Linked DNA regions of Danio rerio. The protein of the gene in region 2 interacts with the protein of the main gene of each other region in a pairwise test. Links are inferred from orthologs where the notes say so. Each region holds a gene or a part of one and is shown on either strand. Other genes may lie near its edges.

Region 1 (5,901 bases), on a different chromosome or scaffold from region 2:
ACCAACTGACCCAGCCGAGACTCAAACCAGAGACCTTCTTACTGTGAGGCCACAATGCTAACCACTGCGCCACCGTGCCGTCCATCGTTTAACTCTAATAAATAGAAATATAAGTGTGCAGGTAACACAATAAGCACACAGTGTCATCCATCATCCTGAAGCTGAAGGTCATCTTGAGCAGGATACAGCAGTCATGCAGAGCTCTCATGTTTGATGAAGCACCACACAGCACAGAGAGCAGGAGAGTGAGTGTGCTGAAGTCAAGAGAAGATGCAGATCATTGTGTTTCAGTTGGAGTCTTCATTGATTGGGGACAAACCCCATCGGCTGCCAACTTGCTTAAACAGCCCTATTCATCATCTTTAGCCCATGTGGAAGCCATAGCAACAGTCCGTATCCCACCGGTGAATATTTAAATAAAACATAATGCAACCCCCCGAAGGAAGAACTAGTTCATGAATACAAATAGACCGAGTCAACATGCGGCGACGTCTGAGGCCTTCACAAACTTCATTTAGCTTGATGCCATTTGACATGAAGCTGCGCGAGCAAATCAGGATCTCGGAAAACACAGCTCATTTGCATATAATAATCACATCAGTGGACGGCAGTGTGCACATGCCAATATGTGTTTAATAAAGCAACTCAATCAACAGTGAGATACATCTGCATATGTACAACGCTTTAATCATATTCTACAGTCAATCATCCTACTTCAGCTTAGTGTCTTATTTATCAGGGGTCACCACAGCGGAATGAACCACCAACTACTCCAGCATATGTTTTAAAAAGCGATACCCTTCCAGCCGCAAACCAATACTGGTAAACACCCACACACACACACACACACTCATACACTATGGCCAGTATAGTTGAGCAGTTCCCCTATAGCACATGTGTTTGGACTGTGGAGGAAACCGGAGCACCCGGAGGAAACCCACACCAACACGGGGAGAACATGCAAACTCCACACAGAAACACCAACTGACCCAACCGAGACTCAAACCAGCGTCTTAAGTGCTGTGAGGCCACAGTGCTAACCACTGCGCCACCATGCCACTCCATATTCAATGTTCATACAGAAATACATCAGATACAGAAGTGTGCCTCATATACAAACCAAATAACACCACATACAGGACTAACAACATCTGAACACTGAAGGGTAATTTTGCAAACTGTCACTGAAACTGTGCTGTTTCAGATTTGGGGTCAGTAGCACACAAGTGTGTGTGTGTGGTGGTGTGTTTTAGGGAAGGTCCAGATGGTGTGTGGGCCCGTGGGCCCGTGTATTCCCCAGCACAGGTGGTGGCTCATTTGGAGGAACCTCAGGTTTGATTGTCTAGAACAACAGATGGGAAAGACCTGAAGTCAGTCAGAGTAGCAGAGCTTGAGCTTAGTGAGATGCACACTGCCCTCTGCTGCTCACCACGGGACATCTGAGGTCCTGCATGTTTCTTTTTGCTGTTGATTATTCAGATATTAGCTCCTTTGCACTCAATTGAGTGTCTCCCCTGTGATTACGTTGGTGCTTTGTTGGCCCAATGACTTCCATTAGAATCACATTTATTGATTGCAAAGCCATGGTACAAACGTGTAACTAAAAGGTCCATATTTAATACCTCATGGGTACGTATTAGTACCTAAAAATTACAAATATGTACATCTTGAAAATTTTAGGTACTAATATACTCCTTTCAGGTACCAATATGGACCCTTTAAGTAGAAATGTGTAGCTTTTGAGAAGGTACCACCCCAGTGACAGCTCGCGTAGCTTTATTTCTGAGACTGTATGATTGTGGATCTGCTCCCTGTTAAACAGAAATTAAGGACAAATCTATACAGGAGGGTGAAGATCTCTTCAGTTGTGCAGAACAGCCCTGTAAAGACAGAAGTACAGTGATTCTGCAAGTGTCTTGAAATGGTTTGCCTAATTTATATGTTCTCTTTCTTCTACAACTCAAACAGAATGAGGCTGATGATCTGGATCTAGAGTTGGGCATGGGCCTGGATCTGGAGGACTTGGAGAACGCCTCAAACGTGCCCAGCCCACACCACCGCAGCAAAGCCAGCTCCCTGCTGAGTGACGTCAGCGGGATTCGAGCTAATCGGCCGAATTTGTGGCACACGGCCCTCAATAACAGCCAGGAGCTGGACAGCGGTGTGGGCCGCACGGATGAGAGCACACGCTGCGAAGAGTCCTCAGAACTGGCTGAAGATGCCACCAGTGCATGCACCACCAACGCCACCAACACGCCGGGCAGCCTGCGCAAGTTTAAAGCGGCTCAGCATGGGTTTGAGTTCCACTACAGCAATGACTCTTTACTGGGACCAGATGGGGTGGACCACGGAGCTCCTGAATCACTGGGAGCAAGCAAAGTGCCGGGGTTAACCGAAGAAGAATACGAACGCTACCGAGAGCTTCTGGAGATCCGCTGCCTTTACGAGAAGAACGGAAACGCACTTCTGTATTTGGATGGAAGAAACCAGTGTGACTTTGCAGGGGGAAGCATCCCTGTCGATATGAACTGCAACGAGAGTTTGATGCAGCACGAAATCGCTCTTCTGGATGAGGAAATACGACATCTGGAGTTTAAATGGCGCAATGTCTTGCGCGCACAGAAGATGCAGCAGTTGCGCCAACGCTGCTTAAAGGTCTGGCCTGCTGATGAAGAGGACGATGAAGACAAAGGAGCAAAGGCAAGATGTGGAGGCGCAGAATCAATCCACCATGACCTCTCGGATATCAACGAGATCCCAGAAAGGGAGCGTTCTGATAAGGAAAGCACAAGCGCATATAACACTGGAGGGGAGAGCTGTAGGAGCACACCTCTGGCTAGCGAACGAAACCCTTCGCTGTCCGCAGCTGGAGACTCCAGTGCCTCTGCAACCATGCGGCCTCGGACGCCACGTCACAAAACAAGGGAAAGGAATCCAAACTCTGCAGACGTCAAGAAAAAGAGCGAAGAATTGGGGGACGTCAAAAATCCAGCAGCAAGGGTTAGGAACGGCGGCGGTAGGAAGGGTTTGGATGGACCGCGAAGGGGATCCCACACTAATGGAGCTAGTGGGGTAGTAAAAGGGGGACGGAGTGCTGAAAACAGCCCATATCTGTCCCGCCGGCACTGCAGCACCACACTGCCTCAACGCTACCAGAGCTGCATGCAACTGAGAGATGTGACCATCAATGACGGGAATACTGAAGAAGATCCTGCTCACTCCAGCACGACACCTACTGCTAATAAAGACACCACTGCTACTGCCGTGAATATCCCACCTCCATCTTCACCTAGGATGGAGTGGAAGGTGAAGATCCGCAGCGATGGCTCAAGGTACGTGGCTAAACGCCCTGTAAGAGATCGTCTGCTGAAGGCTCGTGCCATGAAGATTCGTGAGGAGCGCAGCGGGATGACCACAGACGATGACGCGGTGAGCGAAATGAAAATGGGGAGATATTGGAGCAAAGAGGAGCGCAAGCAGCAGCTGCTGAGAGCCCGGGAACATCGGAGACGGCGGGAGTTCATGATGCAGAGTCGACTGGACTTCTTGAGGGAGAAAGAAAAGGAGCAAGACTCCGGACCACAGGCTTCCATACTGGAGCTGAGCCAGAAGAAGAGCATGAAGAAGCGCAGCCGACGCATCCTGGACAACTGGATCACCATTCAGGAGCTGCTGGCTCATGGATCCAGCTCTGTGGATGGGAAGAAAGTCTACAACCCGTTGCTCTCCGTGACCACTGTCTGATCGACAGCCAGACTCTAATGAAGTAAGAGTGGAGATGACTGCAAAGTTTAGCCAAGTCTGATGAAGATGCCTAGAGGAATACTCCAGAAACATTGATGGTGGATATAAACATGGCAAACACAGGGCCGAATGCAGAATGAATGTACCTGTTTTCATAATCTGTTTGTAAAAATGGCTTTAATGCTTGAGTTTGAGTCACACTCGAGACTGTTACAATCCAGCGCTGAGGATCTGGAGCATCTCACTGGATCAAAACATTCATTCACAAAGACTTGTCAGATGAATGAAGCGGTGGGCTAGTTTAGTCCTGGAGATCCAGACTTTAGGTTGACACACACAAAAAGCTTAATAAGGAGTAAAACCAGAGTGTGAATTACAGGAGGGTTTGGGGGATCGATCCTCTGATTAATGCTTGATTCCCCTTTAAACGACGTCAAACAAGATGCATGCAGGGTCAGCCGAGTGAGAAATCTGATCTGATCTGTTTCTTAATAATGGAAATAATAATGGCGGCACGGTGGCGCAGTGGTTACACTGTGGCCTCACAGCATGAAGGTCGCTGGTTTGAGTCTCGGCTGGGTCAGTTGGTGTTTCTGTGTAGAGTTTGCATGTTCTCCCCGTGTTGGTGTGGGTTTCCTCCGGGTGCTCCAGTTTCCCCCACAGTCCAAACACATGCGCTATAGGGGAACTGATCAACTACACTGGCCGTAGTGTATGAGTGTGTGTGTGTGTGAGTGTGTATGGGGGTTTCCCAGTACTGGGTTGCAGTTGGAAGGGCATCCGATGTGTAAAACATATACTGGAATAGTTGGCAGTTCATTCCGCTGTGGCGACCACTATTAAATAAAGGGATTAAGCTGAAGGAAAATTAATAAACAAATAGAAATTCACTAATTTATTCATTTTCGCCACAGCGGAATGAACCGCCAACTTATCCAGCATATGGTTAGCTGCAACCCATCTCTGGGAAAACCCATACACACTCATTCACACACACTCATACACTACAGACAATTTAGCCCACCCAATTCCCCTGTACCACATGGGTTTGGACTGTGGGGGTAACCGGAGCACCTGGAGGAAACTCTCGCGAATGCAGGGAGAACATGCAAACTCCACACGGAAACACCAACTGACCCAGGCTCGAACCAGTGACCTTCTTGCTGTGAGGCGACAGCACTACCTACTGCGCCACTGTTTCGCCCCCAAACAGAAATAATAGATAACAGATATACATGTGACCTCCCCTGTAACGGTTCATACCCTTGAGTGCATAATCATGCCAATCAGTCAACATGAGAGAAAAATCCTTCATTAGTCTGAAACTGGCAGCACTGATTAACACCGCAAGTCTTCACTTGTTTATTCCTACATTGAGCCTACAAGCAGTCCAATTAGAAGCAAAGTTTGACCTACAGAAACCTCTGAAACAGCTAATCAGAGGCTAATATAAGTCAGAACACACTGAATATCCCACAAAACACTTCAACATGTTTTATTAATAAATGAGATTTAAATGAAATAAACGCATCAGTTTGATTCACTGAAGCATGTACGACTCAAGCTAACAGTACTGAAGGAGGTGATCTTCACACCCTGAGCATCCTCTCCGGGACCAAACGTGATCACCCCTGATCAAAGACGTGTTAATGATCAGGAAATAAAGCACACCGAGCAATCAACATTCTGTTGTATAAACCGGTTTCTTATAGTCCTTTCACTCCACCGCTCTGCATATTCACACCACTCCTATTATTAGTTCAAGAGTTCACGCTAAGATCTTGCAGGTTCTGCATGCTTATCTGGGAGAGAACCTTGAGCTCTGAGATAACTGAGCCCAGGTCTCTCCAGGTCAATAAGCATATAAGGGGGTCCGAGAGCAGGCAGGTGCCGACAGCTCCCCCTGGTAAAGGAGGAAAGAGGGAGATGGGCTGAAAGCGGGGATTCTTCCAGAAAGAAGATAAGGTAGTCGGGTGAAATCGCTCTATTTACTGTAGGCTTGAATCAATCTGATCACAAAATGTGTTGGTAAACCTTCACTCAACAGGTATTCATCACACTTGATCACATCCAAAGATTTAAGTTGAGTCAAAATAACATTACGAGTTACTTCAACTCACAGCAATTAAATGTAGAACTAATTTGCATAAATGAAAA
Region 2 (5,491 bases):
TTAAATTTTGGGTATTTGTTATGCAGCAAGCCCAGAGATTGTGTACACTATGATTTTATATAAAATTAACTTTAATGTGTGATAGGAATAAAACGTGATCATAAACGAATAATTTCTCCACTCAAATGAATGGCGGCTTGGACCTGGAAACAGTATTACATACGTCACAAACACGTCATCACTTGACAAGCGGATTCAATTGACTTATACCACATGTCTTTGGACTATGGGAGAAACCGGTGCACCCGGAGGAAACCCACACCAACACAGGGAGAACATGCAAACTCCGTACAGAAATGCCAACTGACCCAGCCAGGACTCGAACCTTCTTGCTGTGAGGCGACAGTAATATTTTGAAATTGTATTATTTAGAAGAAAGCCAAAATGCGCAAATATAAAACCACTTTTACTGCAACTGAAAAGCTTACTTTACCGTTTAACTTTACTTTTAAAGTACTATGACTACTAAATATAATATGTTTCGTTTACCTGACGATATTTATTATTTTATAGACGTTGTTTTATTTTATTTTATTTTTTTATTAAATCACATTATTGGAAGAAAAAAATAAAAGTTTTTTTTTTTTCTGCATTATGGCAATGCTGCATCCCTGATATGAATATGATATGATTACTGTTCTTTATCTCAGAAGTCTAAAATATTAAATATTGTTTTATTTATTATATGTTTGCATTATGGTGAGAAATTGCAAACTCTTGTGTTTGTAGGATTTTTTTTATATATATATTTTTATCAAAGCCATAAGTTTTTTTTTTTTTTGTATTATGTTTGAAGTCTGTCTGTATGATTGATGATCAAATTTTAAGACAGCAATCCACACACACACACACACACACACTACGGGCCAAAAGTTTGGGGTTAGCTTTTATAAAATAAACTCATCAATGCAGCATTTATTAAATGTAAAAAAAAAAAGTTAAGTATGTATTAAACATTTTTAATAACTGCTTTCTTATTTAATGTAGTTTCAAATGAAATTATTACTCTAGTCATTGTTGTTTTTATTACTTTTACATTTATAATAATAATTGTAATAATAATAATTAATATTAGAGTGATTTCTAAAGGATCGAGACTCTGAAGACTGAAGTAATGAACCTAAAAATCTTTAAAATCACTGGAATAAATTATTAAATTAAATGATAAACTACTTTTGATTAGTTATTTTATACTGCAAAAACGTTTCACAATTTTACAATTTGTGCTGTATTTTTGATGAAATAAATGCAGCCTTGATGAACAAGATGAGCTTATTATCAAATTATCGGTTTAAAATGATTTAAGACCTACAACTCAATATTTCAGTGAATTTAAGACTTTTTTAAGACCTAAATTCATTGAAATATTTTGTTTTGGGTCGTAAATCATTTTAAACAGGTCTTTATTTGGCTTTGTCCAGGTAAAGCTACTCAGTTGGGCTGGCATTTATCCAATCACCAACAATCCATCTCAATAAAACCTTATTTGTTTTTTATTTACATTTTTTTTTTATTGCAAGGAGATACAATTCACAACAGCTATTAGACATTTTTACAGCAAATTCCCCATTTAAAAAATAAAAGAAAACAAAATATAAATATATGTTCTTCATGATATTCCTGGTAATAAACAGTATTAAAAACAATATTAGTCTAAAATTTCATTTTATTGGTCTTAAAGGGGTCCAAAAAACTCTCAAATTTGACTTTATTGTTTAATTAAAATGTTTATCTAAGTAGTCAAGTTAAGGAGTAAAGTAGCTAAGTAGCAAAGTTAAAACATTAGGTATTATATTGTCTTAGAGTGAATTTTAACATGTCTTTAAACATGACATTATTTTGACAAATTTTCATGTACACTGTAAATAACAATACAGACATTATTTTAAATGAATACCAGTTTTTGACATGGTTTTAGATGTCTTGATTCAATTCTAATGCACAGTTTAGTTTTTGAGCTGATTATTGATTGTTTGTCAAGTCTTGACCTGACTATTTGTTTCTTCTTTTAGTGAGCACATTTATATAGCTCCCTCAGGTGTTCAGAAGGAGAGAATACAAGTAAGGTTTTTTATTTAGTCATGTTGTTGTTTCTGTGTAAAATGAAATAATGCTAAAATAAACTATAACTCCCCTGCTGTGTAGCCAGAGGACTTGTTTGTGTGTGACATTGATGAGAAGGACATCAGTTGTCCTCCTCCACAGAAGAAGCTGAAGAAGAGCCAGTGCACGCCACTCTTCATGAACGCCTACACTATGAGAGGTACATGTCAACACAGAATGTACTGTTTTTAGTCTGTACCGTGTTACATCGTCTTGTCTTTTTCACAGGTGCTCAGGCAGTTATTCACACGCACTCAAAGTCTGCTGTAATGGCAACTCTCCTGTTTCCTGGAAAGGAATTCCGTATCACACACCAAGAGATGATTAAGGGGATTCGGAAAGGAAACTCAGGCACAAACTTCAGGTTGTGGTTCCTGTTATGATGCTTTATGAACACGATTTTAAATTTGAGATGTAAAATGAAGCAAATGAAAGCATATACATACATGATACCTCTTTGAAATCTTTAAGATCTCATTTTTATATCAATATTTTACAACTTACCTTGATTTAAAATAATATATATTGTGTATATAAATTATATTACTCAGCACCAAAGCCAAATCTCTTTTAATCTAATTAATATAATAATCATTTACTGACTTTCAACATATATAACATATATGTTCTGACAGCTGCAGATGTGAATGAATGGTGGAAGAAAGTAGTTTCCTTGTACAAAAGGGATTTTGTGACTCGCTGTGTTTGATATTCTCTTCTATATACACGATTATGTCATCAAACTGTTGTATAAATGCAAAATTACACTCATAGCAGTGCAATATGGCTGTATATTGAATGTATATTTGGATGACTTGAACATAGTTTAAATTCTGTAAATATCTAAATATTAGCAATATTAACTCTTTAACGATAAAAAAGGTGACAACATTCCATTAATTGTGTTTTATAAATGGTTGGAAAAAGAAACTGAAAGTAAAATGTGTCAGCGCCTAATATCCTTCTCTTCTTCTATTGTGTTGTGTTTTTACCCAGGTATGACGACACTCTAGTTGTTCCAATAATTGAAAACACCCCAGAGGAGAAAGACTTGAAGGAGCGGATGGCCCGAGCCATGGACATGTACCCCGACTCCTGCGCTGTCCTCGTCCGCAGACATGGCGTCTACGTCTGGGGAGAGACTTGGGAGAAAGCAAAGACAATGTGAGCTGGGGAATTCAATGCACAACTTTGTTTGTATTTTGTAGAAACATACATTATTGATCTTTTACATCACTATTGTTTTCCAGGTGTGAATGTTATGACTACTTGTTTGACATTGCTGTGCAGATGAAACAGAGTGGTCTGGATCCTTCTGCTTTTCCAACTGAAGAAAAAGGCATTGTTTGAGTCTGCATAATAAAAAACTATAACTGTGTGTGTGCGCATGTGTGTGTTTATAGCGATTGCTCAAATATGCAACTCACAATTTTGTGTTTGTCATTTAAACGGCACCTATTTTATCCTTTTTTCAAGATCTAAGATAAATCTTTTGTGTCTCCAGAAGTTTCAGCTCAAAACACCCATCATATTACTGATTATAGCTTTAGAAATACTGGAATTTTCAGCTCTGAACACAATGTAGCTGTTTTTGTTGCCTGTGCATTTAATGTGAATTCTCTCTGCCCACCGTTCCCACACGCCTCTCAGTGTGCCTAAAACTCCGCCTCAGCCACATCAGATAAACAGCACAGTGACAGACATGAAGGAAGCAGATCTCAGATTTAACGGTTGTGAGAAATACTACTGTAAGAAATTTACCAATGATTATTTGATGTATTTGTTGTGGAGTTGCAACGATGAGTCACACAAGGTTACACATGCGCACACATATAGCGGACACACACACTGTGTGTTTAACTTTGCACTGCTTTTGCACGCAAGTGTGACAGGATACACATTAATATTCACTGCTGCATGGATATCCGTTATGTTACTGTACAAATATGGGGCTGTGGACATAAAGACGTTAAAATTGCTGTAATTCATTTACATGCCCTGTTTTAAAAACGTATTAAACTTGTACAATTTATTCTTGATCACATTTGATGATGATTGATGATCACAGCGAGCTGAACAGATCTTTTAATCCCAGTTGCTTTGCACACATCCTGTCTTGTTGATATGATTATACGCGTTACTGCGAAGACATGTTAATACAGGACTGTCAATCAATTCAGTGGGCAACTGCACTCTTACGTCACGTTGCGATTGGCCTCAAAATGGGAGGGATTTGGATCCTATTTTTTGACATCAGGAAATTTTAAAAAGAGACTTATATTGTCTTTATATGACTGTGGACACACTATACCTACACAGTTCTGTTCAAACAGCACCCAAAAGTATTTCATCATAGGTGTCCTTAAGATAAAACACTTTCAAAGTCATCAAATTTGAATTTAATTACCTTAACAACAATATTCCTTTAATTTCGCAAGCCAAGTTAAATGTCAGTATTATGTCAGAATTCAATGTAAGAACGCAGATTAGAAAGGTCATCATTCTGATGCTAATGAATGTCATGTTTTTGTTTGGGTGTTTTGATGCTTGGGAACAATGGCATCATAATGTCATAATTAGCATTAATTGCAGCTACTTGATTTTAATACAAATTACTATGATTGGTTTAAATATACAGTTAAATTAGTATAGGTATTGACTTCAGTTTTTATATCCTGTTAATAAGCATATGTTTAAATAGAAAGTGGTTTTAATTTACATTTGGTGCCTTTTTTCTCATATTGAAATGCACTTCACATCAGAGGTTGGGTTAGCAAGATTATTTGTGTAATATATTTGCAATTATAGATTACTAAAGCTGCACTTGGATTACAAAAATAATTTTTAAAATATGCAATTTTGAAATAATATTACAATAACCATTGTAGTACCTTTGTAATATATTCAACAATTATTTTATCCTCTAATGCCAAACTGCAATTTTTCAGCAGCTGCTAATTTAGTCTTCCTATTTTGATTAGCTTCTCAAGAAAAGAATCATATGGAACTGTTTGCACTAGCCAGATGTTTGAGCCTCACATTATGTTTGTAAATCTAGCATTATGCGTTGTCATGCAGCATAACCAAGAGATGGCAGTGTTGCCTTGACAAGATATCTTGCGGAAGTGCCCTCTGCAACTTCAAACATGTTTGCATTTGCCATTTTTAGTAAGTCTGCATTTAACAGCTTGAGAGTCAGTGGAATATGAAAACAAGTGCACTGCGCCAGAGTCGGGACTTACAGAAACTCTCCGTTATCTGAGGGAATCCATGTAGCTATATTTTGCTCCCATCCATTTTGTTCTGCTTCTGCCTGTCTGTCCCTTTGAATGACCGTTATTCTCGGAGGTCCTGTAATTCACAAGCTGCTTGAAGCCACGGGCTGGTC
Region 3 (6,725 bases), on a different chromosome or scaffold from region 2:
TTCGACAATGATCTGAAATTTAACAAGCAATTAAATACAATTGTTAAATCCAGTTTTTTCCATTTACGACTTGTGGCAAAAGTAAAGTCGTTTCTTTTAATTTTTAATGACCTTGAGGAGGTGATCCATGCTTTTATTTTGGGAAGACTTGACTATTGCAATTCCCTGTATGTGGGTATTAGTCAAAATGCCCTAAATAGATTGCAATTAGTACAAAATGCGGCTGCGAGACTTCTGACAGGGACTCGCAAGTTTGCACACATATCCCCAGTTCTTTCCTTTCTGGGCTGGCTGCCTGTTAGGTCACGGATTGATCTGGCACCATCTTACTTATTAGACCTGCTACATGTATACAATCCTGGTAGGTAACTGAGGTCTTCTGATGAATTTATTCTATCTATACCAAGGTCCCGGTGTAAGCGGAGTGGGGATCGGGCTTTTGCTGTTGTCGCCCCAAAACTCTGGAACGGGCTTCCTTCCCACATCAGACATGCTCCAACTCTACCTGTTTTTAAAAAGCATTTGAAACGCCATCTTTGTTCTCTAGTATTTGAGCCTTTTTAATGTTGAGGGGTTTGCCTTATGTTTTAATTGCTATGTGTGTGATGTAGATTTTATTTTTAGTATTGATTGTGTTCAGCACTTTGGGCAACGTTGTGTTGTACAAAATGTGCTATATAAATAAATAAACTAAATAAATAAATAAACTAAACTGTTGCCTTTCTATCAGCTGGAACAAGTCTGGCCATTCTCCTCTGACTGCTGATGTAAACAAGGCATTTGCGTCCCAGAACTGCCGCTCACTGGACTTTTTCTCTTTTTCGGACCATTCTTTGTAAACTCTAGAGATGGTTGTGTGTGAAAATCCCAGTAAATCAGCAGTTTCTGAAATACTCAGACCAGCCCGTCTGGCATAAACAACCATGCCACATTCAAAGTCACTTAAATCAGCTTTCTTCCTCATTCTGATGCTCGGTTTGAGCTGCAGCAGATCGTCTTGACCATGTCTACATGCCTAAGTGCAGTGAGTTGCTGCCATGTGATCGGCTGATTAGAAATTTGCATTAACCAGCAGTTTTGACAGGTGTACTTAATAAAGTGGCCGGCTAGTGTATTTTTACTGTAATAAAACTGACTCTTCTTGGCAGCCTCTTTATTTGACGATGATATTAATTCCATTCTGTTGTCAAATTAAAGCAGCTCCGCCATGGACTCGCAGTCATCGATTCTGGAGGAGAACTTGGAGAAGATTTTGAGGGGTGAGGGTCTCGAGTTTGATTCAGTCGCTGAACAAGTGGACCCAGTCACACTGAGGAAGAACGTGTGTTATATTGTCGGCGCAGTCATTTTCAATTCAAAGGTAAAGATGGTGTTGTTGTTCTTGCATGTGAGTGTTGTCTATTTACTGGAACAAGACTGTTTGGTAGCAAGGAATGAAACTGAAGGCAGCACAGTCAATGTGGCTTAATTTACAGTATGCCAGTGTTCAAGAATTATTCTCAGTACTTTATTTACATACTGGTCATGTGACCATGATCTAAATATTGAAAGATATTTCAAACCAAGTTAGGTTTGAAAATAGATTAATAATGAACAAAAATGAACAAAAGATTAATGCAATTCTCATTCAGGAATGTTTTGGGATGCACATACAGTATTTGTGTCCTGTTCATATATAATCCACAAGAAAACCTAATATTCTTAAAATTTCAATGGGTTTTGAGGACTTCCTTTTAAAAAAATTCAGGACTTATGGAGTCTTTGTGGTAATGAACTGCAGACGAGACAGCAAAAAAAGCAATTTCTCGTAAAGTGACAGAATATTTAGTTCCTTCCTCCGATCTGAAACCTAAAGTTATTTTGTACAAATAAGAAAAATGGCAAGTGGAATCGGACAGCTGTTCAAATAACAAATTGCAAAAGATCAATCCGAGCATAGAAGACAGATGCTTTAATCATTTTAGTTTTGAAAGCAGCTGAAAGCATGACTAAACTGTATATACTAGATGTCGAATTGCTCACTCTAGGTTGGCTCATTTATTGAAGAGCGATGCACCATCAACATGTAGGCACTGTAAAGCTTTCCTTAACAGAATATAGATTTTGTTAGAATGTGAAGTTTTAAAGACTGCAAGACAAAATCTTTGATGGATGACTTTAAAAATGTCTCCCAGAAAAAAACATGAAATTATTACATATCTGACAGAAAATTTGTCCTGTTTTTAATGTAGAGTTTAATGATTTCTTTTGTGTCATCTACAGATTTCTACAAAAATTTCAGCCAACTTTCAATCTATTTATTTTCTTATGTCAATGCGTGTATTAGGTTTATAAGTTTATCTGAGTCTTTAATAGTGATTTAAGTAATATCATTGCCTAATTTGCAAATATTTAAATAATTTATGGACAAAATAATTTGTAAATATTTTTGTATTTTAGTGGATGCATTATATGACAGACCTGCTGTAGCTTTGTTTACCATACAAGTGCTTCTAATGGGCTGTATGCACAGCTAGAGTTTTAAAGCCAACGATAAACTTCCGGTGAAAGCTTAATGTGACTATTTTCAATTTCACAATGTTGTTTTTACAGCCTCAATGTTGTAATTTAATTACAATACATGAGACTTAAGCATTCATTTAGTTGTTCAAGCGTAAAATGAGAAAGACTGTTTGAAAATGGAAATGGAAATTCCTATGAAAATACTGGGGTAAAATAACTGTCATATTACAAAGACATGGTGGGGGGAAATGGAATTTAATGCAGTGCTTTTAGCCCGATATGAGACCCACTTCATATCGTTTATCTAACAGGCACTGAAGATCGCTGATTTTTAAAGAAATCAGATCTTAAACCTGACAATTTTGTAAGAGAAAAACAGTTCACAGGAAAAACAGGAAGCCCTGCCTGGCTGAAAATTATAATTCAGCATGTAAATAGCACATTTGATTTTGATTGTAAACTTTAATTAAAAATATTTAATAATTATTTAATATAATAAAAAATATAATATAAACTTTTCTTTCTTTCTTTTCTTTTTCTTTACAAAATTGTGCAAATAAATAGCCAAAAAGTCTGCAGAATCTGTCTGGCCTTGGTAATATCGGGCTTTTTTATCTTAATTGATCTTTTCACAAAATAGCCTCAAAGTTGTTGATATACAGTATGTCACAAAAGTAAGTACACGCCTCACAGTTCTGCAAATATTTATTGAAATTTTTTTCATAGGACAACACTGCAGAAATGACACGTTGACACACTAACAAGTAGTCAGTGTAGAGTTTTTATTGACCTTATTCTAAAATGCGGAAGTGCGCCTGTTATCGCGATTGTCTTAGAACTTCCGATTCAGTCACCTATGGGAGAAATGAGTCGGAAAAATAAACGGCAGAAAACGGTCAAACTACTTGCTCTACAAACAAATGTTTGCATGACTATACAGACCAAGTAGAATAATATAACAAGAAAATATCAAATTGCAACATCAAGAAGCGTAACGAGCAGTTTTTAACAGCAAAAAATGAATAGAAGTGAATAAGACCGGAGGTCGCGAGCCAAAAAGAGTCAAATGGCAGCGAATAAGTCGGCGGAGAATAAGGTGAATAGCGGTGTAAATTTATTGGCCTCTCAAAATGCCATTCAACTCTTAGTCATAACCCTAATTCATGATGCCAATTTTACCAACTGACACATATTCTCAACTCTTTCTGATTTGTTTGTTAATTGACCCTTCGCTAAACCCCACCCAAAAACCGCCACCCACCAATCGTGGCTTAGCAACCGTAGCTACGCGCAGGGAATTTTTTTTCACTTTTTAAAACCAAAAACTCTAGGGGAAAATGCCAGCGTGGATCAAGCTCTGTGAGGGGTGCTAAAGAAGTGGAGTTAAGTTGGTTTTTGTTTTGATATTCCTGACACATTCAGTGATAGACCGACGACAATCACTCACACACCTCTTACCCTAAACAGATTTAAACTGTGTTTCCAGCATAAATACAAAGCAGATTATGTTTCACAGCTGTCTTTTTTTTCCGCTCGATATTATGAGCACTCTGTTTAAGCCCTCGCCATAGTAGGCATACCAATGAGTTATATTCATGAGTTATTGATCCGGAAAATACAAATCTGATGCTAACTTTACTGAACGTCATATTTCCATCTATTTCAAGCTACGAATATTTCAAATTACAAATCAACAGAACAAAACAGATATAATCACAAACTGGGCACTTGCGATCAATATACTTCACCAGCAGCTGTTCTTCATTAATTTATAAAGAGCACACAAACACACCCTGCTGAAAAATCCAGCTTAAACCAGCCTAGGCTGGTTGGCTGGTTTTAGCTGGTTGACCAGACTGGTTTTAGAGGGGTTTTGGCCATTTCCAGGCTGGTTTCCAGCTATTTCCAGCTTGGTCTTAGCTGGTCAGGCTGGAAAATGACCAGCCAAATCCAGCTAAAACCAGCTTGACTAGCCTGGTTTAAGCTGGATATAGCTGGTTTTGGCTGGACTCCCAGCTTGGCTAGGCTGGTCAAGCTGGTTTTAGCTGGTCATCTCCCAGCTTGGCCAGCTAAGACCAGGCTGGAAATGGCTGGAAACCAGCCTGGAAATGGCCGAAACCCCTCTAAAACCAGCCTGGTCGACCAGCTAAAACCAGCCAACCAGCCTAGGCTGGTTTAAGCTGGATTTTTCAACAGGGCACTGACAGTTATAGGTAACTTACTTTACATTTTTATGGGTCAATGATGCTAATATTCTTGACAAATCCATCAATTTCCCCTTTCTGGCTGCTCTTTCTATTAATGAATTATGTAAAGCTTAGCGAAGGGTCAATTACTTGTATAAATTAAAACGCTGCCCACTTGTGTATATATAATCCATTTGTGTATTTATTTCATCTGTGTTCTTCATTTTACTAGCCGTGATGCTCATCAGCCTCTCAAGACATCATCTGTGTTTGCTTGTGTTGTACAGGAGGAAGTGTTGATGGTACAGGAGGCAAAGAGAGAGTGTTACGGCAGATGGTACCTCCCTGCGGGTCGCATGGAGGAGTGTGAAAGCATTCTAGAGGCACTGCAGAGGGAGGTCAGAGAGGAGGCGGGAATCGACTGTCAGCCAATCACACTGCTGCTGGTGCAAGAGCAAGGGCCCAGATGGGTTCGCTTCATCTTCCTTGCTGAGGAAACAGGTTAGATTGAATGGTTGATTGTGGAGTTGCACACTATTGCTGTGTCCCAAATCGAATACTTAAACTACGCCCTAAAAGTATGTACTTTTTTGTGAAGGAAAAGTATATACTTTTGAGTGTGTAACAGAAGAGTATGCAAGCTTCGGGGCATACTACTTCCTCGTTAACAGATCGTTGTGCTGCTTAGTTATGAGCCCTGTCAATCATCCACACATCATCCATATTTCTGTCATATTTAATTGCCTACCTTATTGGAGAAGCAGCAGCAGGATAATCTGCCATTCACGAGTCTTTCATGCTGAGAAATCTCCTCAGGTCTTTGGGTAATTATGCATTCAGAAGATATGTCCAAACATATCTTGATATAAGTTCACATTGTTGTTGTTGCAGATGAAATAACACAAAAAACACAATTTAAATATTTTCCAGTTGGCTAGACATTGATTACCAGTCATACAAACATCTTTACCGAAGCCTCTCTACTTGACAGTTGGTCTCGCCCGTCCCTCATGTTTGTAGTTTGTTTACACTTTTCACTCGGGTTTTGTATTTCTAAACGATTTTATATCCAACGCGCAATGTACTATAGGCAGAATCAGAGGTTAGAATATGGATGCTTCAACACTTAAATTTTTACCGGAAATAGTAAACCATCAGGGAATCTTTGGCATACTTATTTCAACATACTACAACATGGGACATACTAATTCTATTTTCAAATACTATTTAGGACGGATAGTATTCGGATTGGGAGGCAGAAATTATTTCGAAATTAAAGTTGATGTCGCAAAATGGCTTAAAAATACTTAATATTGACATTTTCCCATAGTGATTTGCAGCCCTAATTCGTTTACAATGGGTTTTATTGTTGTTTACAATTAATGTTGTTTACAATGGGTTGTTTAAATGCACAGTATGTCATTTTCGCCACTAGAGGGTGTGTATTCACAACAAACAAAATCATAGTTTGATGATGCCGTGTAGTGGCACCTCATGTAGTTAGCACATGGTGTCAAACTGCAGTCACACTTCACTTTTAGCCAGAAGACTGGAAACGCAAGCCCTTGTTACTAGTTTCACATGTCACTAGCCGCATTTCCACTGTCGGGCCAGGGCTTTTATCGAGCCAGGCCAATCGCCCGGGAGGTTGAGTAGTGAGGCCGAAATCACATGGCGTTTCCACTGTCGGGCTAGTACTAAAACAAACAAATGACACGTTACAGTACAGCATAACATTATATGTCTATACACACAGGCCTGTGTGTTCTTATTCATCATATACACGTACTCGCCGACAGACCGTTGGCTTCGAACTTCGAGCGGTCTTGCCACTAACGGAGGAACCCAGCGCAGTGAGTGCACCCATCCAAAATATAAAACCACAGAAATTCTCTGTTAATAACTCGGTATGAAGTGTATTTTATAACATCCTCGTTTTGATAGACGTCGTCAAACATTCAGCCCAAATGCTCCGGAGAGACCTAAAACATATTCATTTTTCCCTATAGGCTATATGACACTTAATAGGTGATTCCC
Region 4 (6,725 bases), on a different chromosome or scaffold from region 2:
GTTGGAAGGAAATCTGATGTTCTCTGTCTCTATTTTCAGGAATCCTCATCACAACTATTTCCACCAAAGGGGAGCTGCAGACATGGCCAGAGTTACTGCCTCAGCTGTGCAACATGCTCGACTCAGAGGACTACAACATCTGCGAGGTTTGTGCTGTTGTCTTGCATACTTTTTTGAACACATTTGCATAAGAAAATGTTGAAGATGTACATAAAAGGGCTGCATGAAAAATCTGACATTGCAATATTTTGTTTTGCTGCGATATAAATATATATACACTTGGTGATTTGAGTAGCTCTATTTGGTAAGCGCTTCGGGCGAACCGTATGCCAATGCAAAAACCGGCGCGTTTAAGGTCCGTTTTCTTTAAAAATCAGCGATCTCCATTAGCTGAGTGATATCTGATATAAAGTGGGTCTCAGATTGTACAAGAAGCATTGTATTAAATAACATTTCCCCTGCCATGTCTTTATAATATGAGCATTTATTTTACCCCAGTATAGTCAATGGAGCTTCTGCGCTAGCCTGCCAATTCTGACGGGCACATGCGAGTAAACGGCTTTTTGTCTCGTTTTACGCTTGAGCAACTAAATGAATGCCAAAGTTTATTTAACTGAATGTATTTAAATTATATTACAATATCGATGCTGTAAAAGGAACCGTATTAAATGGAAAAAAGTTCACAATAACAGGTCACCGGAAGTTTATCAGTATGGCAAAAACACTAGCTCGGCATATACCCTAGTATTGATGCTTAATCTATATATTGTTCAGCCCTAGTATGTAATGTTCACAGATTCAGATGTCTGATTTGAGTCACAAGCTCTTGATTCAGTTGGGTTATTGATTCGATTCTCAGTGCTTAATTCAGATAGTTGAATTTAGGTTTAATACAAGTCCAATTGATATATCATCAGCTTAATTTCAGGATTATGGGTGCATTAAAACAGAACCGACCTCCCTTTCAGTTGCATGGTAATATTAAACATAGCAGTTTTTTTCAGTGTTTGTATATATAAAAACATTTATTCGTTTAATATCAACACTAGAGTGTTATTAGGCTATAGTTTATTTAAGATGTTTGACATAGATCAAGTCTTATCTTTAGTGAGAATTTATTTATTTTTTTTGCAATAAGCCACAAAAGTGAAACGAGTTGAGCTCTCAGGCACTAATTTGTCTTTCTCTGCGTGATGCTTTAAAATGTTTTTACTTCAAACTCACTTCATAACTGCAGTCAAGTGTTTATTAGTCATCCTGAATTAATGAAAACAGTTAACTTTTGTTTATAATGCAACAATACGTAAATTTTGGGAGTTGTTTACAGGTGTTTGATTACAGCTTTGCTCAATAGCGTTTGCTAATTGCACATCCTTTAAATTATCAAGTGTGTCCTGTTCAATTTCATTCAACATGTTTTTTTCCTTTAACTATATAAGCAGAATTGTGCTGTATGACCGTTGCAAAACAGCTATTTAGGAAATACTGTCCATTTGACATTTCTATATATTGTCACCTCTGCCACACTTCAGATGTGCTGTTGCATCTCACACCCTAAAATACAGAAATATAGTGAGATTTAAATTTTTTTTTTCTTTGTTAATATCCAGGGCTCATTTGGAGCTCTTCAGAAGATTTGCGAGGACTCTTCTGAGCTACTGGACAGTGATGCTCTGAACCGACCTCTAAACATCATGATCCCCAAGTTCCTGCAGTTCTTCAAACACTGCAGCCCCAAGATCAGGTTTGTTTAGAGGATTCTTCATCTCTCTTGGAACAAAACGCTTTATACAATGAGGATCTAATGGTTGTTCTTGTGGTTTTGTAGGTCTCATGCTGTTGCCTGTGTGAACCAGTTCATCATTAGTAGAGCACAAGCCCTCATGGACAACATTGACACTTTTATTGAGGTACTGATCCATGTGCAATGGATTTAATAATATCCATTCTTAAAGTTTTACTAAAGCAACCCCCGCTTAATGTAATGAAGTGCAAATGTCACAATAATTGTTAATTGATTTTATCAGAAAAATCTTTGTTATTAAGTCATTATTGTATTTTATATACCTATAAAAATTTTATATTGTCAACTTATCATTAATTGATCAAATAAAGTATTTTGGATGTTACCATGCTATTACTGCTTTATTTATAAATTAAACAACTGTAAAATTCTTTGAAATTTCAAATTATAGATGAGCAAAAGTGAGCAATGTTTTTTTTCTACTGAGGAGAATCTTTATTTGTGCATCATTCTGTGAAATTCATAAATTATACAATCTGATAATTACCATCTACTTAAACAAATGGAATTTATTTTAGTTACTTTTAGATGAAATGTATAGTTTTTTTTTATTGCTCAAGAGAAGCAACTGCCCATGTAACATCTAAATAAGCATGTTAACAAACATTAATTAAGCTTTTAATTTGACTAAATTCTCAGCAGAAACAGCAAAAAATGTAAAGGAATTATGAAGTAACTTTTGTGTATTGATTTAAAAAAACAAACAAAACAAAAAACAAACAAACAAACCACAACTTCATGTAAAACGTCAAGAAAAGTCTATTAATTGGATATCCCTAATGATTGTGTGCAGTGTTTTAATTTAATTTCTGTGTGTGCATGTGTTTGCAGAGTCTGTTTGCGCTTTCATCAGATGAGGACTCGGAGGTGCGGAAGAACGTGTGCCGGGCTCTGGTCATGCTGCTGGAGGTGCGAGTAGATCGACTCCTTCCTCACATGCGCAGCATCGTTGAGGTAAGAAGCAAACTTACTGTCTAGATGTTTCCCTTTAAAATCTGTACTTAAAAAAAAAATGATTCATTTAGTCTTATATTTTTACTCCATTAATTTTCATTTTTTACTCAATTTTTCTGAACTCTATTTTACTGGTAAACTTTCAGTAGTCAAAAGACCAATCATAGTTATCATGAAACTCAGGAAGCTTAATTTATTTTAATTTTAATGAACCCTGTGCCATATTTAGGTAGTAATATTTAGTAGTTATAACTGTGCCATATTTAGGTAGTAATAACTAAATATTTAGGTAGTCTCTTAAAGTGTAAAATTTACAAACAGTAGTCCGTTTTGTGATTTTGATGTGCAGCCTTGTAATATGTACAATATTGACTGTTTGTACAGTACATGCTGCAGCGCACACAGGATCCAGATGAGAACGTGTCTCTGGAGGCCTGTGAGTTCTGGCTTACACTGGCTGAACAGCCCATTTGTAAAGACGTCCTGTCTGGACACCTTGCACAGTAAGTGACCAGTTTGCATATACGAGAACTGAAAGTATATGCATTTTTTTTTCTCCGATAGCCATAAAACTTTGCTCAACACTGAGTTTGTGTAAGGACTAGTATGATTTTTTTTTTAATATTTATATATATATATTTTTTAAGAATAATTATTCACCTTTTTTCAAATTTCTTTGGCTAGTCTTTTTGTGTGACTGTTTATTTGCCTGAAAATATAATACATATTATCAAAATATAATAATCCAGATTAGTTGACACTTCTGTGGATGTTTTATTATGATAGTTTCAGTAATGCATTGTTTTTATTAGTTTTAGTATTATTACAATCGATTTTCATTAGACTGTTAAAATGAAGAAAAACTTGTTGACATTTTCTTAGTTTTTTTGTTTTTGGTTTGAATCATGAAAGCTTCACTAAAATTCTTTAAACATTTAGCCATTCAGCACATTTTAAAAGGCTAGATATGAACACTGAAAGAGTGCTAACTGATTAGCACATTTTTACCCTATTGTCAGAGATGCACTTATTATCAGTCTTTAGAGTATAAAATGAATATCACATCCATCTGCAATATTCTGAAGTTTAGTATGACCTCATCTTCTCTCCTAGACTGGTTCCTGTTCTGGTCAACGGCATGAAGTACTCTGAGATTGACATCATTTTGCTAAAGGTTAGTTGTTGGAGATAATAGTAACTCCTAGAAGCAGTTTGGCCTCAGGTGTGATGATAAAATTTCTCTTGACGTTCTCCGTGATTTTCAAGTATTCATACTGTCTGACCTGAGCTCTTTAATTAAGTTGTTACAGTGTCGATTGACCCAGCCGTGTTTCATCACACTGATCTGTTACTTCCCATTAGGGTGATGTGGAGGAAGACGAGGCCGTGCCTGACAATGAGCAGGACATAAAGCCACGCTTTCACAAGTCTCGTACGGTCACTCTTCGGCACGAGGGTGATGAGGGGGAGGAAGGAGAGGACAGTGAAGATGATGACGACGATGATGATGACAGTCTGTCCGACTGGAATCTACGTGAGTGCTTTTCCATGACAAACTAACTACTTGCTGCTTGAAAAATGTTGCCCATTTTGTAATGTAGCAATTTATTGATTGAGTAGCCTAAATTGGAATCAGAATTTTTTTGTTTTTTTGTGCTTCAATTTTGTAATTTTTTTCCCAGACTTGCATACAAACTGCACTGTAGTGATTTTGTAGTACAAAGTGTTTTAATGGACAGGGTTTAGAGAAGCCAAAGATGCAAATCAGATGCTGCAAGGGATTGGCCAAGCACCCAGAGCAAAACAGAAAATATTCTGCATTAACAAATATTGACCTTTTGTTCATTTCGAACTTTCTTAAAAAGATTGTACAGATCAGACTTTTGTGGGTCGTTTAGACTATCGGTTGGAGTTTTAGCTTTTCGAAGTTTGGGGCCAAAAGTAACAGGATATTTGTACATTTCATTTGTGCAAATCTTTATCTAAAGCAAAAGTGATTATCTATGCTTCATTATAGATATAGAGTGCACTATAGTAATTAGCATTTGAAACAAGTGGATTAAAACCTTTCATTAAAGTTGTAATACTATTGAGCAAGTCCATTTTTTTCTTATTAAAAATATTTTCTGATCTGCTTAAATTGTTGTCTACTTAAAGTATGCGTTTTTTTCTTTAAAGATCATCTGTGTTATTCAGACTGTCTACGAGTTTTATGGAGCAACATTTTACAAAGCTGAAGTTAAATTGTTTTTTTTTTTACTCCTTTTAAAATATTAGTGTAATTCAGTATTGAAAAAAATATTTTAGAAGTATAAAATAAAAGAGAAAAAATCTAAATGGGTCAATTTGAATGTAAAAAAAATCTGCCATAAAATCTAAATCAGTGCATTACTACTGTAATAAAGCAAATAATCTTTGCCCAGAAAAATCAGTGTCTGTTGTGGAGATGATTACAAACTGTATCATGAATGTCAGTGATGTTCAAGTATTCATACTGCCTGATCCACAAAACAAAGTTAAAATGATTCTCAAGGTAACTGAAGATCTGATTTGATCTGAGATGTGTTTTTTGCTCTGAAGGGAAGTGTTCAGCAGCTGCTCTTGATGTCTTGGCAAACGTGTTTCGGGATGAGCTGCTTCCTCACCTGCTTCCAGTGCTGAAGGAACTGCTGTTCCACCCTGACTGGGTGGTGAAAGAGTCAGGCATCCTGGTGCTGGGAGCCATTGCTGAAGGTATTTGAGACCATGGATAAGATGAGACCGCTGATAAGACTATAGGTTTGGAGAGAAGTGCACAGAAATGACTCTTTGAAATATCATTAGCTTTTAGTACAGCAGTTATGGGGAAAGATAATCGAGAATGCATCTTTAAGTCACCATTTAAAACTATTGTTAAAAAGATCCAAAAATTTTGCTAAATGCGGTGCTTATTTAGTTGTGAAGATGATGAAATGACACCATAAAATATACATGGAAATATGGCTATATTAAACAACCCTAGTTAAACAAGGTTAAACAATTCTTCAGAATCAACCTTATATTCTTATTTGTAAGTCAAACATTTCTTGTCAGTATTGAAATGTGTTGTGATTTATAATATTGGATTCTACAATGGATATTTAAATAAAATGCTTCAATTAAAAGTATAAAATATCTATTTGATATATTAAATGTTATAATATTTAATGTGAAAAATTAAATGTATTCACTTAGGATGCAAGTCCATTTAAATAGTCATTAAAAAAGTGTATCTGAAATGGTTGCTCCTTTTATCTTCAGGCTGTATGCAGGATATGGTTTTGTACTTGCCGGAGCTGATTCCTCACCTGGTCCAGTGTCTCTGTGATAAGAAGGCACTGGTTCGTTCCATCGCCTGCTGGACTCTGAGCCGCTACGCACACTGGGTGGTCAGTCAGCCGGCAGACTCCTACCTCAAGCCCCTCATGACTGAGCTGCTCAAACGCATCCTGGACAGCAACAAGAAGGTTCAAGAGGCTGCCTGCAGGTGTGTTTGACCTGTTCATTGATATTGATGACTGATTTAACCATGTCTGAATTCTAAAACCATAAACTATCCTTAAAAGGTTTCATTTTATATCAGTCGTCACCAAACTTGTTCCTGGAGGGCCGGTGTCCTGCAGATTTGAACTCAAACCCTAATCAAACACACCTGAACAAGCTAATCAAGGTCTTACTTGGTATACTTGAAACATCCAGGCAGGTGTGTTGAAGCAAGTTGGAGCTAAACCCTGCAGGGACACCGGCCCTCCAGGACCAGGATTGGTGACCCCTGTTTTATATTATAATCTGTTGGAAGGAGTGGTGGGACATCAACATCGACTTAAACATCTAAAATGGGTCCAAAATAATCTGATTTTGATCTAAAACTGATTAAGCTGATGCATTTGTGATAAAATCAATTAGTGATGTTAACTTAATTGATTATTAATTGTAAAATACAGTAAAA

What was found.
Region 1: the proteins of apip (region 2) and PDZ domain-containing protein 4 interact in a two-hybrid assay, tested with the Homo sapiens proteins (2 studies listed by BioGRID and IntAct). The two-hybrid records come from large-scale screens. The link is inferred for Danio rerio from reciprocal best matches to the Homo sapiens genes APIP and PDZD4.
Region 3: the proteins of apip (region 2) and nudt18 interact in binary tests that used the Homo sapiens proteins (3 or more experiments, as listed by UniProt). The two-hybrid records come from large-scale screens. The link is inferred for Danio rerio from reciprocal best matches to the Homo sapiens genes APIP and NUDT18.
Region 4: the proteins of apip (region 2) and tnpo2a interact in binary tests that used the Homo sapiens proteins (3 or more experiments, as listed by UniProt). The two-hybrid records come from large-scale screens. The link is inferred for Danio rerio from reciprocal best matches to the Homo sapiens genes APIP and TNPO2.

Annotation. Positions count from the first base shown.
Region 1 is NC_133198.1:264,235-270,135, forward strand, and holds part of PDZ domain-containing protein 4, read left to right. Parts: intron 1-1,968; coding exon 1,969-3,744; 3' UTR 3,745-5,901.
Region 2 is NC_133182.1:51,744,986-51,750,476, forward strand, and holds the end of apip (methylthioribulose-1-phosphate dehydratase), read left to right. Parts: intron 1-2,012; coding exon 2,013-2,061; intron 2,062-2,145; coding exon 2,146-2,263; intron 2,264-2,331; coding exon 2,332-2,467; intron 2,468-3,099; coding exon 3,100-3,267; intron 3,268-3,353; coding exon 3,354-3,453; 3' UTR 3,454-3,481; downstream 3,482-5,491. UniProt on the Homo sapiens protein: Catalyzes the dehydration of methylthioribulose-1-phosphate (MTRu-1-P) into 2,3-diketo-5-methylthiopentyl-1-phosphate (DK-MTP-1-P).
Region 3 is NC_133183.1:55,667,977-55,674,701, forward strand, and holds part of nudt18 (8-oxo-dGDP phosphatase NUDT18), read left to right. Parts: intron 1-1,197; 5' UTR 1,198-1,207; coding exon 1,208-1,360; intron 1,361-4,975; coding exon 4,976-5,189; intron 5,190-6,725. UniProt on the Homo sapiens protein: Mediates the hydrolysis of oxidized nucleoside diphosphate derivatives. Hydrolyzes 8-oxo-7,8-dihydroguanine (8-oxo-Gua)-containing deoxyribo- and ribonucleoside diphosphates to the monophosphates. Hydrolyzes 8-oxo-dGDP and 8-oxo-GDP with the same efficiencies.
Region 4 is NC_133178.1:17,597,592-17,604,316, forward strand, and holds part of tnpo2a (transportin-2), read left to right. Parts: intron 1-39; coding exon 40-146; intron 147-1,610; coding exon 1,611-1,744; intron 1,745-1,828; coding exon 1,829-1,910; intron 1,911-2,635; coding exon 2,636-2,758; intron 2,759-3,142; coding exon 3,143-3,261; intron 3,262-3,871; coding exon 3,872-3,932; intron 3,933-3,976; exon of another isoform or gene 3,977-4,045; intron 4,046-4,120; coding exon 4,121-4,292; intron 4,293-5,338; coding exon 5,339-5,491; intron 5,492-6,037; coding exon 6,038-6,263; exon of another isoform or gene 6,264-6,342; intron 6,343-6,536; exon of another isoform or gene 6,537-6,725. UniProt on the Homo sapiens protein: Probably functions in nuclear protein import as nuclear transport receptor. Serves as receptor for nuclear localization signals (NLS) in cargo substrates.